3 linked regions of the Pelodiscus sinensis genome follow. Each later gene encodes a partner of the first gene's protein in a complex. Links are inferred from orthologs where the notes say so. Each region holds a gene or a part of one and is shown on either strand. Other genes may lie near its edges.

What was found.
Region 2: TIMM21 (region 1) and CMC1 share a complex: the UniProt entries of both Homo sapiens proteins name them as parts of the MITRAC (mitochondrial translation regulation assembly intermediate of cytochrome c oxidase complex) complex. The link is inferred for Pelodiscus sinensis from reciprocal best matches to the Homo sapiens genes TIMM21 and CMC1.
Region 3: TIMM21 (region 1) and SURF1 share a complex: the UniProt entries of both Homo sapiens proteins name them as parts of the MITRAC (mitochondrial translation regulation assembly intermediate of cytochrome c oxidase complex) complex. The link is inferred for Pelodiscus sinensis from reciprocal best matches to the Homo sapiens genes TIMM21 and SURF1.

Annotation. Positions count from the first base shown.
Region 1 is NC_134712.1:95,704,334-95,708,082, forward strand, and holds the start of TIMM21 (mitochondrial import inner membrane translocase subunit Tim21), read left to right. Parts: upstream 1-982; 5' UTR 983-1,273; coding exon 1,274-1,571; intron 1,572-3,749. UniProt on the Homo sapiens protein: Participates in the translocation of transit peptide-containing proteins across the mitochondrial inner membrane.
Region 2 is NC_134712.1:186,372,374-186,376,122, forward strand, and holds the start of CMC1 (COX assembly mitochondrial protein homolog), read right to left. Parts: upstream 2,813-3,749; 5' UTR 2,773-2,812; coding exon 2,679-2,772; intron 1-2,678. UniProt on the Homo sapiens protein: Component of the MITRAC (mitochondrial translation regulation assembly intermediate of cytochrome c oxidase complex) complex, that regulates cytochrome c oxidase assembly.
Region 3 is NC_134732.1:16,715,740-16,719,488, forward strand, and holds the start of SURF1 (surfeit locus protein 1), read right to left. Parts: upstream 2,440-3,749; 5' UTR 2,347-2,439; coding exon 2,293-2,346; intron 1-2,292. Other genes in the region: SURF2 (surfeit locus protein 2), read left to right, coding at 2,511-2,588. UniProt on the Homo sapiens protein: Component of the MITRAC (mitochondrial translation regulation assembly intermediate of cytochrome c oxidase complex) complex, that regulates cytochrome c oxidase assembly.

The sequences.
Region 1 (3,749 bases):
ACCGCTGGGTTAGGACATAAATGTCTGCTACTCTGTCTATAGTGGGCTATCACAGATTCTTAAAGATGTCATAAAGTACAATTCTGTTATTCTTATTATCATTATTGTAGCTTCCATGCTAAAAGCAGTAGAGTCTCTTATGATTGAATTCCAACTGTAATTATAGCTTCTGCCTTTTCAGTGCTCACAACTTCCTCAAACATATTTCTTTTAAGTGTGAATTGTCCTAGAAAGTTTGAGTAAAATCTTTACAGGTGTTTTTGGGTAGTGGCTTCATGGAATTATTTACTAGCTGAGTTTAATTAATAAATATTTATATGATTATATAGGAGCTGTATGCACATGCTGACCACAAAGGAATTATTGGGAGGAAAACATAATAAATACATAGAATTTGACCAGGGGGGCAGAGTTACTTTTATGTTCACTCAGTTGCTGAATCAGGCCCTGTTAAAATAGATTTTACATCCATCCGTTTCCATGATGAAAAACGACCATTTTAGAACCTCATCCTGCAAAGACCATGGGACTAAAGGTGTCCCTAAATCTTTGCAGGATTTATTCACCTTGAAAAAGGAAGAAATGCTTCTTTTACCACTATATTTGCAAAACAATAGGCAGTTCGCATTATTGCAAGGTCATAATGTTTTCCTAAAATGACAATTGGAAACCTTCAAAAAACGAAAAGAGAAGAAAACACTCCAAAACATATGCTCTTTTTCATTCACAAGCGCTGAGAGTTAAAGGAAGTCAAAAGCATCCAGCCTCCCTTACTACTTTTGTTACGTGGTATCTGTTCTAGAACCAGGAGATTGAAATTACTGTAGGTTTGTGTCGGTGCAATTTAATCTCACAGGCAGGAGCTGGCGCTTTGCATTGTGGTAGTTGTAGTCATTTTTCCTTTCAGCTACTATTAAATATAGATGGGAGGCGAATTTCTGTGAACTACAATTCCCAGGACCTCATGGCATTTTTTTTCCAGGGAACTTTGCAAACGTGATGGAGGAAGTTGAAAATGTCAGCGAGCACAGGGTAATGTAGGTTTCTCGATTAAAGTAAATCAACAAGGTAAAAGCAAATTCAAATTGAGAGATTGCTCCAATTCTGTTTCACTAAAGGGACAGCACCTTCATTGCACACACTATGTATGCGTTGCTTAGGTGCAGATTACATTAAGTTAAGATCTTTCCTGCAATAATCAAGGGAGGGTTTAGTTCAACTAATCTACATAGATCTTTGTTTGTTGGTAACATACTAAGACTTGTTTTGCCTCATGATGTTTTCTCCTTCGTTTACACGAGTTATTAAATGCAGCGAGAAGTTACAAGGCTCGACAGGAAAGTGGTTGCTTGCCCTCCATGGGAAAGTGTTTCTAAGGACTTGGCGGTGTTTTATGTGGGGGCAGGAATTTTCCCACATAGAATCTGTGTTGCGTCCTCGTATGCTTTTCCAAGGTGCAAAACAAAATATCTGGACCCAGGAAGGATCCCTCAGAGCTGGGAATAACAGCAAACAAGTGTCTGTGCAAAGAAGTCACAAAGGAGGCGCACCCGTGTCGGCTGCTCAGAAAGGTAAGTGAAAGTGAAGCTATGGCCAATATTAATTAGCAACTTGCATTGGTTTTAAATAGCAGTGACCATCTACAGCCCTACAACTGAGGAATATAAAACTGATTCCCACAGCTGCAACTCATCCCCTGGTTTATACATTGCATTTTTTAGCATAACTTTATACAGAGTTGACTTTTAACTGGTATGTGTGTATTACACACTCACAGGCTGTGTCTAGACTGGCAAGTTTTTCCGCAAAAGCAGCTGTCTACACTGGCCGCTTGAATTTGCGGAAGAACACTGACAATCTAATGTAATATTGTCAGTGTTCTTCCGCAAATACTATGCTGCTCCTGTTCGGGAAAAAGCCCTCTTGCACAAATGTAGTTGCGCAAGAGGGCCCGTGTAGACAACTAAAAACTGTTTTGTGCAAAAAAGCCCCGATGGCAAAAATGGCGATTGGGGCTTTCTTTTGCAAAACCGCGTCTAGATTGGCATGGACGCTTTTCCGCAAAAAGTGCTTTTGCGGAAAAGCGTCCATGCCAATCTAGACGCTCTTTTCCGCAAATGCTTTTAACGGAAAACTCTAGATGTAGCCAATAGGTAAGTGGCAGGCTTCTTATAGGTAGGCTAATTGGAACAGGCCTAATATGTTTTGTAGGGTCCACATAAGTAACACACAGTGCTCTCCATCTGTCTCCCCAGTTATGGTTGGATCCCCTTGCATGCAGAAGTTTAACACTACATTCCTATTCTCTTGCCTTCTGCCTGCCTGCAGTCAGCTTTTAGCACCACTCCAGCCTTGGAGAAAAAATAGGAAAAAAAAATAAACCTAATCAGCAATATTTGGGTTAAAGGCTGATACAAATTCAAATGTTAACTCTTCTAAAATAATTTTCTTCCTCCAAACACACATCACATTTTCTTATTACCATTGTAACAAAAAAGCAGTCTTTAGGTGAGGAAGAGTGGCTTTGTACCTAATAATTTCCAAATCTATGTATTAGATTAATATTTGATATCAGTTTCATCAGTCCCTCTTTAATGTGGAGATTGCAACTCACCTCTAAGGATTTCTTCCACTTGGCCACAGTGATCTTAGATTGCACAGCATCCATTGATTAATATGAAAAAACCAGAAAGGAATGTAGAGGTGATTTAAACCCTGTACATTAGGGATGTGAAAGTGTAAACATATACCTGGTTAACGGTTGAGCCTGGGCTCATCAGTTAATCTTCACAATTACATGCAGGCCACCCCTCTCCCACTGTTGCCTCTGTATCAGCGGCTATAGCGGAGGGCAGGTGAGGCAGGAGCTGGTGTTCGTGCATACCAGCTCCCGCAGAGCCTCCTATTCCCCCATCCCCTCACTGTTGCCTCTGTGTAAGAGGCAGCAGGGGGGAAAGCAGGTGGGACCCGGTGCTCAGGGGGAGTTAGCTGGCTCTGCAAGTGCTAGCTCCCGCTTGCCTCTGCCCCCTTTCCTCAACCTGTAAACATGTAATTACTGATTTTTTTCACTGCTTACATATTTACCTGAATAAACACATTTTCATGTCCCTGATATAAATTCTACATCCATGTCATTTCCTGAAGATTAAAACTGGCTTAGTTTAGTGAATTAAGAAAGTGATTTCCAGACATTGGTCCATTTGCTAGTTGCCTGCAGAGAGATGGCTGATCACATGGTACTGGCACCTCCTTTGTAGCTAATACAGTTACAAAAAATAGTGAATGTTTTTCTGGTAGTGTTTTTCCATGTATGTAATCAGGGTAGTTGCCACCAATGACCAATGTTGCCATTTGATCACCAATAGAAGGGGAGACAACCCAAATTGTTTCAAAAGGGAAGGAAGAAGCAATGTAAGAGGCTTTGGTATAGTCCATAGTGGAGATCCCACTTTTCAGCCATCTCAGCTGTATTACTCTCCAAGAACCATCTTCGTCTTTCATAATTATTTGATTAATTTTCAATCTAATAGGAACGTGCTGAACCATATAATTCTATTTCTCTGACCTAATGTTGAGGCCAACAAGTGTGGTTGTTCCCCCCCCCCCCTTCACTATTTAATGAAAATCATCTTACAAATATAAATATGCATAATTTGGAGACGCTATAGACAAAATTTCTCATGTAACCTATCCGTTTTGAATGTAACAATTAACTGGATCTATATATCCTGTTTTGGTGTATGAATCAT
Region 2 (3,749 bases), about 91 Mb from region 1:
GACCATTTTCACAGATAATGGCACCAATACTTGCACAGGGGTCTCTTCCAACTGTACCCGGCTGTCCAGCTAAGGCAGGATGCCAGCGTAGGCCCCCTGCTGCCAGCAAGGAGAGAGTGCCAACTGGTTCCCAAATTTCCCTGCACAAGAAGCTGAGTACCAGCCTTGCCCCCACACCCAATCAACAGTGACCTGTGGCGAACCAGGGGCCCACTTGCCCCACACTGCTGTTCCGTACTGTCATCTAGTGCAGCTGGGAGCATGCATGGGGGAGGTGGCTCACTTCTGGGAGAGGAGGAAGACTCTCAGCATAACAGCAAGCTGCCCTGTTCAGAGAGGGGAGGGTCCAGCTCTGTGGGGCTGGAGCTATGGGGGGAAGCGGGTGCAGTGCCCTAGGCTCGGCCAATTGCAGGGCAGCACGGCCCACCCTCTGCCATGGAGACTGGGGCGGGCGACGGCCCAACTCTGTACCCCTCTGCCCTGCTGTGATCTCACAGAAGCTGCTGCTACCAGGTACCATTGCTGATGAACACCCCCCACCCCAGCAGCAAAAGCACACAATGCAAATCCATTCCCACCTCTACCTGAGACCCTCATCCTGCCCTTATGCTGCTCCTTACTCAGAGTCCTTGTTCCCATGCTGCCTCCCTCTTCCCTGCAAGACCCTGTCCCCTCCTCACTCATTTGTGCTTCCTCCCACCTACCCTCTAAAGACAGCTTGCTGCTGCCACCCTGCAGATGTGTATGAAGATAAAATCCAGCTTGCGGATCAGATAACAGAATGAGCCTGGCGGAGGCGGATCCACATATATGTATCTGTGCAGGACTCTAAATACCAGTTTAAATGGTCAAAACACACTTAGTTGTGTATTCCTGCTCTTCGCATATTGCTATATAGGTGATCCTGAGATGTAAAAGGGTGAGAACTCTGGGGTTATAGTATGTTCATCTGTGAAGAATCTTTTTAAACTGCATTGCATACTACTTCACTCTCTGTCCAGGTACTTATATAATTTATTTATTTGATATCTTATTTCCCAGAGGAGTTCCAGAACATTCCATCAAACACTTCTCTGTCCTTTGGCCAGGGTATAAACAAGACACAGAAAGGCTGTTATCCAATTTTCCATCTTGAAAGTGGACTGTTCCTAAAATTTCTTTTCTGTGCCGAATCTCTATTCTACTTAACAGAAACGAAATAAAAATGAAAAGCCATTAAAAAGGCTATTTGTTGAATTATCTCTTGCACCACTCTTCTTTTTCCTTTCCATTTTGAATTATCCTTTAACTATTTCTCCAGTTCTATTCCTGACTCTCTACTCTTTAACTTCTAACTCTTAGCTTCCTTGTCTTTTCCTGCCTTTACACTGAAATGTCTTTCCTTTCCTCCACTATCTTTTTAATGTGTCATGACTCTACACCATTCACATAGTAGAATAGTGCAGCTGGCCCTCAAATTTTGTAAGTGTATAATGAGAAACTGAGTCCCTAAAAAGACTTTTTAACTGAACATAATACTGAAGTGCAGCATAGCCATCAAGAAAGGCAAGAGCCTTCCCTGAAAAAATTCTAAGTACGTAACTTCATACATTAGGGCTACGTCTACACTGGCCCCTTTTCCGAAAGGGGCATGCTAATTTTAAACTTCGTAATAGGGAAATCTGCAGGGGATTTAAATATCCCCCGCGGGATTTAAATAAAGATATCCGCCGCTTTTTTCCAGCTTGTAGAAAAGCCGGAAAAGAGCATCTAGACTGGCCCGATCCTCCGGAATAAAGCCCTATTCTGGAGGATCTCTTATTCCTACTTCAAAGGCTCCTAGAGCTTTTCTCCTCTTCAGAGGGGCTCCCGTACATCCACGGGCTCTGTTGGGCAAGCTGGACTTGGTTTTCTTTTTAATGGGTGAAAATAGTATGTAGTGATATTGGTAGCCCACCATCACCTCACTTCTTGTGGCACTAAAATGAGACATGACTCATGGAAACATTGTACAGACATGCGATTATTCCTCTCCTTACATGCAAAATTAAATAGTTAACTATGTTGACATTTAAGTACCACACTAGGATCTGAGTAAACACACTGAAATGAATGGGGCAGTTCACACTTCTCAGCTATTGCTCCAGTCTCTTTTCAAACTGACACAGATATCTCTATTCTAGCTGCACCTAGTTAACATTTTGATGTTTTTTTCTCAACATAACAAACAGCAACTACATGCTTGCCTACACTGTCCCCCAATTAGGACTAGTGGGGAGTGAATAGCAGTGTAGATCAAAGTGTTGTGCTGTAACTTCCCCATGTGATCAAAACTAGAGTTCCTAGTTTACATTAGCACAGTCCTCTTCAAACTGAACCATATTAATGCAAAGCAGTTCACACTCGTAGGGTCTACACAGGGGAGTTCTGTGGCAGCATTTCAACCTGCTGCTATTAACACTTTTATAGTAATCCAAACTGCAGAGCAATCAGACAAAGCCTGAGTTTCATTTTAAAAAATGAAAACCGATACACTACAGGTTGTACCTCCCTTAGCCAGGACTTTCAGATCCAGCAACATCCGTGGTCTGGCAGGACTACAGATGTTCCTGGACCACAGATTCCAGGAGTAAGGAGGTCTGGCCACGAGCCAGTAACATGGGGGGAGGGGGGAAGTGAAGCAGGAGAGAGAGACTCACCCAGAAGTCTTGTGGGGGGGTAGTCTGTGAAGCTCCAGCCCCAGCCATGTAGCTCCAGCCCCAACTGCAGCCAAGAAGTTCGCACCACAGCCATGCAGCTCCGGCCCTGGCAGAAGCTGGGAGAATGGGAGCTGGAGAGCTCTAGCTCAGGGAGTGAGGGTTTGTCAGGGAGCAATGGGGAAAGCAGCAGGGGAAGGGGAACAGCAGTTTAGCATGGACCATTAGGGGAGGGACCACCCCTGGTCCGGGACCAGTCAGATCCCAAGGATGACAGACCAGAGAGGTCCAACCTGTAGAAAACAAAATACAGCCGGTCCCTGAGTTACAAATGCATCGACTTACGACCATTTGTATTTACGATCAGCCTCCTATACAGCCGATATCTGAGTTACGAACGAAAGCTGCACTTATGAACAGCGCGGCCATACGTAAGTGAATGTAATCCGACTTACGAACAGATCGAGTTATGACCAAGTGCTTGGTACGTAACTCGTTCATAAGTTGTGGCAGTTTCAGAGAGGAACATTGCGTGACAGATTAACCCAAGGGTTGCCTCATACTGCATAACAATTTCCCAAATGCATCCTGGGAAGTTCAAAAGTATGTTCATTGCCATCCAATCAGTGTAACTGCAGAATAAAAACAGATAAAATGCAGTTTTTTATTACTGATGAATGCAAAGAACAAGCAATGTTAAGCACTGTTAGATTAATAAATAAGCTTTACACTGCATAGCCTGCAACGAAGCCTCCCTGGCAGCAGGATTGCCAGTCCCTGCCAGTTCCACTCCCAGGGAGGCGGCTTCTCTGCCACAGAAAAGCAGCTGGCCCCACTCCCAGGGAGTCAGCGTGTAACCTGCAGTGGGGAACGGGGTGCCATCAACAGAGATTTCTCCAGGAAGCTGGAGCAGCCCCTGCCCATGGTGAGCCCCGAGGGGCTGGAGCAGCTCCCTGCACCCGGTAAGCATTACCAGTTAAGCTTTCACATCCCTAACCAGTACAAAGTGTTCATTTACTATTTTAGCTGTGCTTTGCTAGTCAAGTATGCTGGTATACACAAACACACACGGGA
Region 3 (3,749 bases), on another chromosome or scaffold:
TATTGCACAAAACAGCGCAGTGTAGACGTAGACTAAATGTAGCATTTAACCCAGGCCTGGGCAAAAGATGATCTGTGGGCGAGAGCCTCAGCCAGTTCCCTGCCTGCCCTGCCCTGCCCCTGCTTGACATTCTGGAAAGCCAGCTGCAGGGCCACCTGGGAGTTTCTGAATGCTGACAGTCTGGAGGGAGGGGAGCCAGGCTTCTCATGCTGCCCCTACCCCAATAGCACCCATTGGCTGGTTTCAGACAATAGCAGCTGCCTGCTTGCAGGACAGGCAGCATGTGAAGTGACCCTCCTCCCTCATCCCCCCATACATCATTCCATTCAGACCAGTAAACATGGCTTCTGCAGCTCCCCTGAGAATATACAGGGGTTGGAAAGCAGGGCCCCTGGCTAAGAAAACTGCTGGGCTGCTGGCTGGGAGCCAGGTAAGGTCTCCCAACCAGAGCCTGTCTCTGGCTCCCCAGCCTCTCTCTCCCTACCCCATGTAACTCAAACCTTCTGTACTCCTGCCAAAGCCCCTATACACCTTCCAGACACTGCATCCCCCTCCTACTACCTCCTCAGGTCACAACCCCCTCTCAGACCTTGCACCCCAATCTGCTGCTCCCAGCACAACTCAAATCCCTGCACCCTGTCTTGCACTACTCCCCTGGTCACAACCACCTCCTAAGCCCAGCACGTTCTCCTCCTACATCCCTCCCCGGGACCAGAATTCTCTCCTGCATCCATACTCAACCCAGACCCTGCACACCATTCCCCTGTCCCAGGTCACAACCCAAATTTCTGCACCCCTACCCCAGGTTATACTCCCCTCCCAAACCCTGCACCTCCACCTCAACCCAGTCCTTTGCCCCAGGTCACAATCCCCTTTTCCCCCAAACTCCCTCACAGGTCTCACACCCCAATCCCTTACCCTACAACCACTTCTGCAACCAACCTCCATACCAGACCCCCGCACCTCCTCCATTAATATAATGGTAGAGTGTGGTCCTTGATCACTTACAAAATTTTTTGGAGTTGCCCCCCCATCAAAAATTATTGTCCTTACCTGGTTTAACTGGTTAACCAATTAAAGGGGCTTGCGTGGGCTGGAGTGCCTCATTCCATGACAGGACCCATGAGGCTGGAGTGGGCCCCTGCCTGCGGTAGGCAGGGAGCTGTTCCAACCCCCAACGGGTAACCCTTAACTGGATGATGCTTAGCCATTAACCTTTCACATTGCTAAATATAAATGTCATCAGAGTTCTGGTATTTCATAACTTTGGATCTTCATTAAATCAAATGGCATATTACCACTTAACAGCCACGGCCAGATTCAAATAACTTGTCTCCTACCAGCAATACCATGTTGATTAATAACACACTGACAGCTGTCAGTCTTTATTGGTCAAATTTTAGAACTAGCTTCATTTAGATCTGGATGCTGCTGATCAATCCCTGACAAGAGGTCCCATTTCTCTCTGGCCTTCTGTCATCTCACAAGCTCAACATCGAGTTTACAAAAATAAAACACAAAACCTTCCAGAAGTGATGGCATTGACTGCAGATGCAAGCAGAGCAACTAGGACGTGTTCAGCACTGGCCTAGGCTCACAGGAAGTCAGAAACATTAACTAAACACTTAGGAAACACACTGTGTGGTCGATAACCCTGCAGTAATAAACACTTAGAATTTAATGAATCCTTCGAAGATTTTGGAACGGATTAGAATGCTGCGCGACTTTTCAGTGACTAGACAGATGGAGAGTCGTTGACAGCCGCCATTGTACACGTTCCCGTTTGCCAGCATCTGACGAACTGGTTTTACCCACAAAAGCTTGTGCCCAAATAAATCAGTTAGTATCTAATGAGCCACAGGGCTCCTGGTTATTTTGACCTTCCCTTTTGTGATGAATGATCCTCTCCCCTCCCCCGTGCATTGTGTTTCAATGGGACATTTTAACCCGCTGGACACAGGCCACGTGTCTTGCACAATGAAACACTCCCCCCTTGAGCCCACTAGGACAAGGGCGGGGGAGTTTTTGGGGGTCGGGGGCCGCTGACCCACAGAAAAGTCAGTCGGGGGAGGAGGGGGACGCACACTCCGTGACGTGGCCCCCGGCTGAGGAGAGACATTCCCCTCACACGCCCGAGGCTGGGCGGGCCCAGGCTGGTCGATGTGACGCGCTCAGGCCGGGGGGGGGGGGGCAAAGGGGCTGGGCCCGTCTCCCCCCAGCCTGCAGCGGGAGCGAAGGGCGGGCAGCCGGGCACAGCCCCCCTGAAACCCCGCCGCAACCCCGCGGCTTCACCTGGCAGCTGAGCCTGGGCGGCAGCCGCAGCAACAACCGGCTCCACCCGGCCATGGCGGTGGTGGGGGGGGGGGGTCCCCTCAGCGAGTTGCCCCGGGGTAGCACGCGCCCGCTTCCTCTTCCGGCTCCCACCGGAAGTGGGAGGGTGTCCGTCCGCCCGCTCTTCTCTATGGTTCCGGTTCCAGGCTCCGGACTTCCGGCTGGCTCCCTGCGTTGCCATGTGCGAGGTGCCCGAGGAGGTTCAGCGCTTCCTGCAGCAGCACCCGGTGCTGCGCCTCGTCGAGCCGGGCAACAAGGCAAGCGGGAGGGGAGGGGCGAGAGGCCCCGGAGGGGGCGGGGGGTCCAAGCCGGAGGAAGTATGAGCCTGGGGGAGGGTTCCCCGCTAGATCCCGCCCGCGGTGCACAGGGAAGGGGTCCGCTGCCTCCTCCCTCCCCTGCTGTGTGTGGGCTCGATGCAAGTCAAGGCGATTTAAGTCAGTGCTTCACCTCCATTTCCCACTGCTGCCACCTCACCCATTTATTCAAACAGGGGTGCGAATCTGATCACTAAACCATGTTAATTGACAGCTCAGGGCAGCATTTTACAACATCCAAGAGGGTTACACCTCGTGTATTTTTTTAATTTTTTTTTTTAGGAAATGGTACATTTGGCTACGTCTAGACTGGCATGATTGTCCGGAAATGCTTTTAAGGGAAAAGTTTTCCGTTAAAAGCATTTTCGGAACCGAGCGTCTAGATTGGCACGGACGCTTTTCCGCAAAAGCACGTTTTGCGGAAAAGCGTCCATGGCCAATCTAGACGCGCTTTTGCGCAAAAAAGCCCCCGATCGCCATTTTTGCGGAAAACAAATCTCAGCTGTCTACATTGGCCCTTTTGCGCAACAGTTTTGCGCAAAAGGGACTTTCGCCCCAACGGGAGCAGCATAGTATTTCTGCAAAAAGCACTGATTTCTTACAGTAGGAAGTCAGTGCTTTTGCGGAAATTCAAGTGGCCAATGTAGACAGCTGGCAAGTTTTTCCGGAAAAGCGGCTGATTTTCCGGGAAAAAACGGCAAGTCTAGACACAGCCATTATGTGTGCCGTGCAGCAGCAGTACTTTAGGAATAGTAAAAACTAAATTACACACACAAACACAATAGTACTTATATTTTATTCAACTAAATCTGAAATGTTCCATGAATGTTTCACATTTGCAATCGCAGCAATCTTCTGAGTTGTTGGCTGTCCTTACACTTTTTTTTAATTTTCAAATTTTATTAACTCAGACAGACAAGTCATCAGAACACTAACTCTACAGTATCCTTAAAACTTCTACAACTAGCTCTCTTCCCCAATACCACTGTCATTTTTATGCAGCTCTGATGCCAAGTTACCAAAAAAGCTAAGATTGGCTGTTTAGAGTGCACTTAATTTTGGAGTATGCCCCATTGAAAACAAGTGTAGGATGGGGTTCCTTTT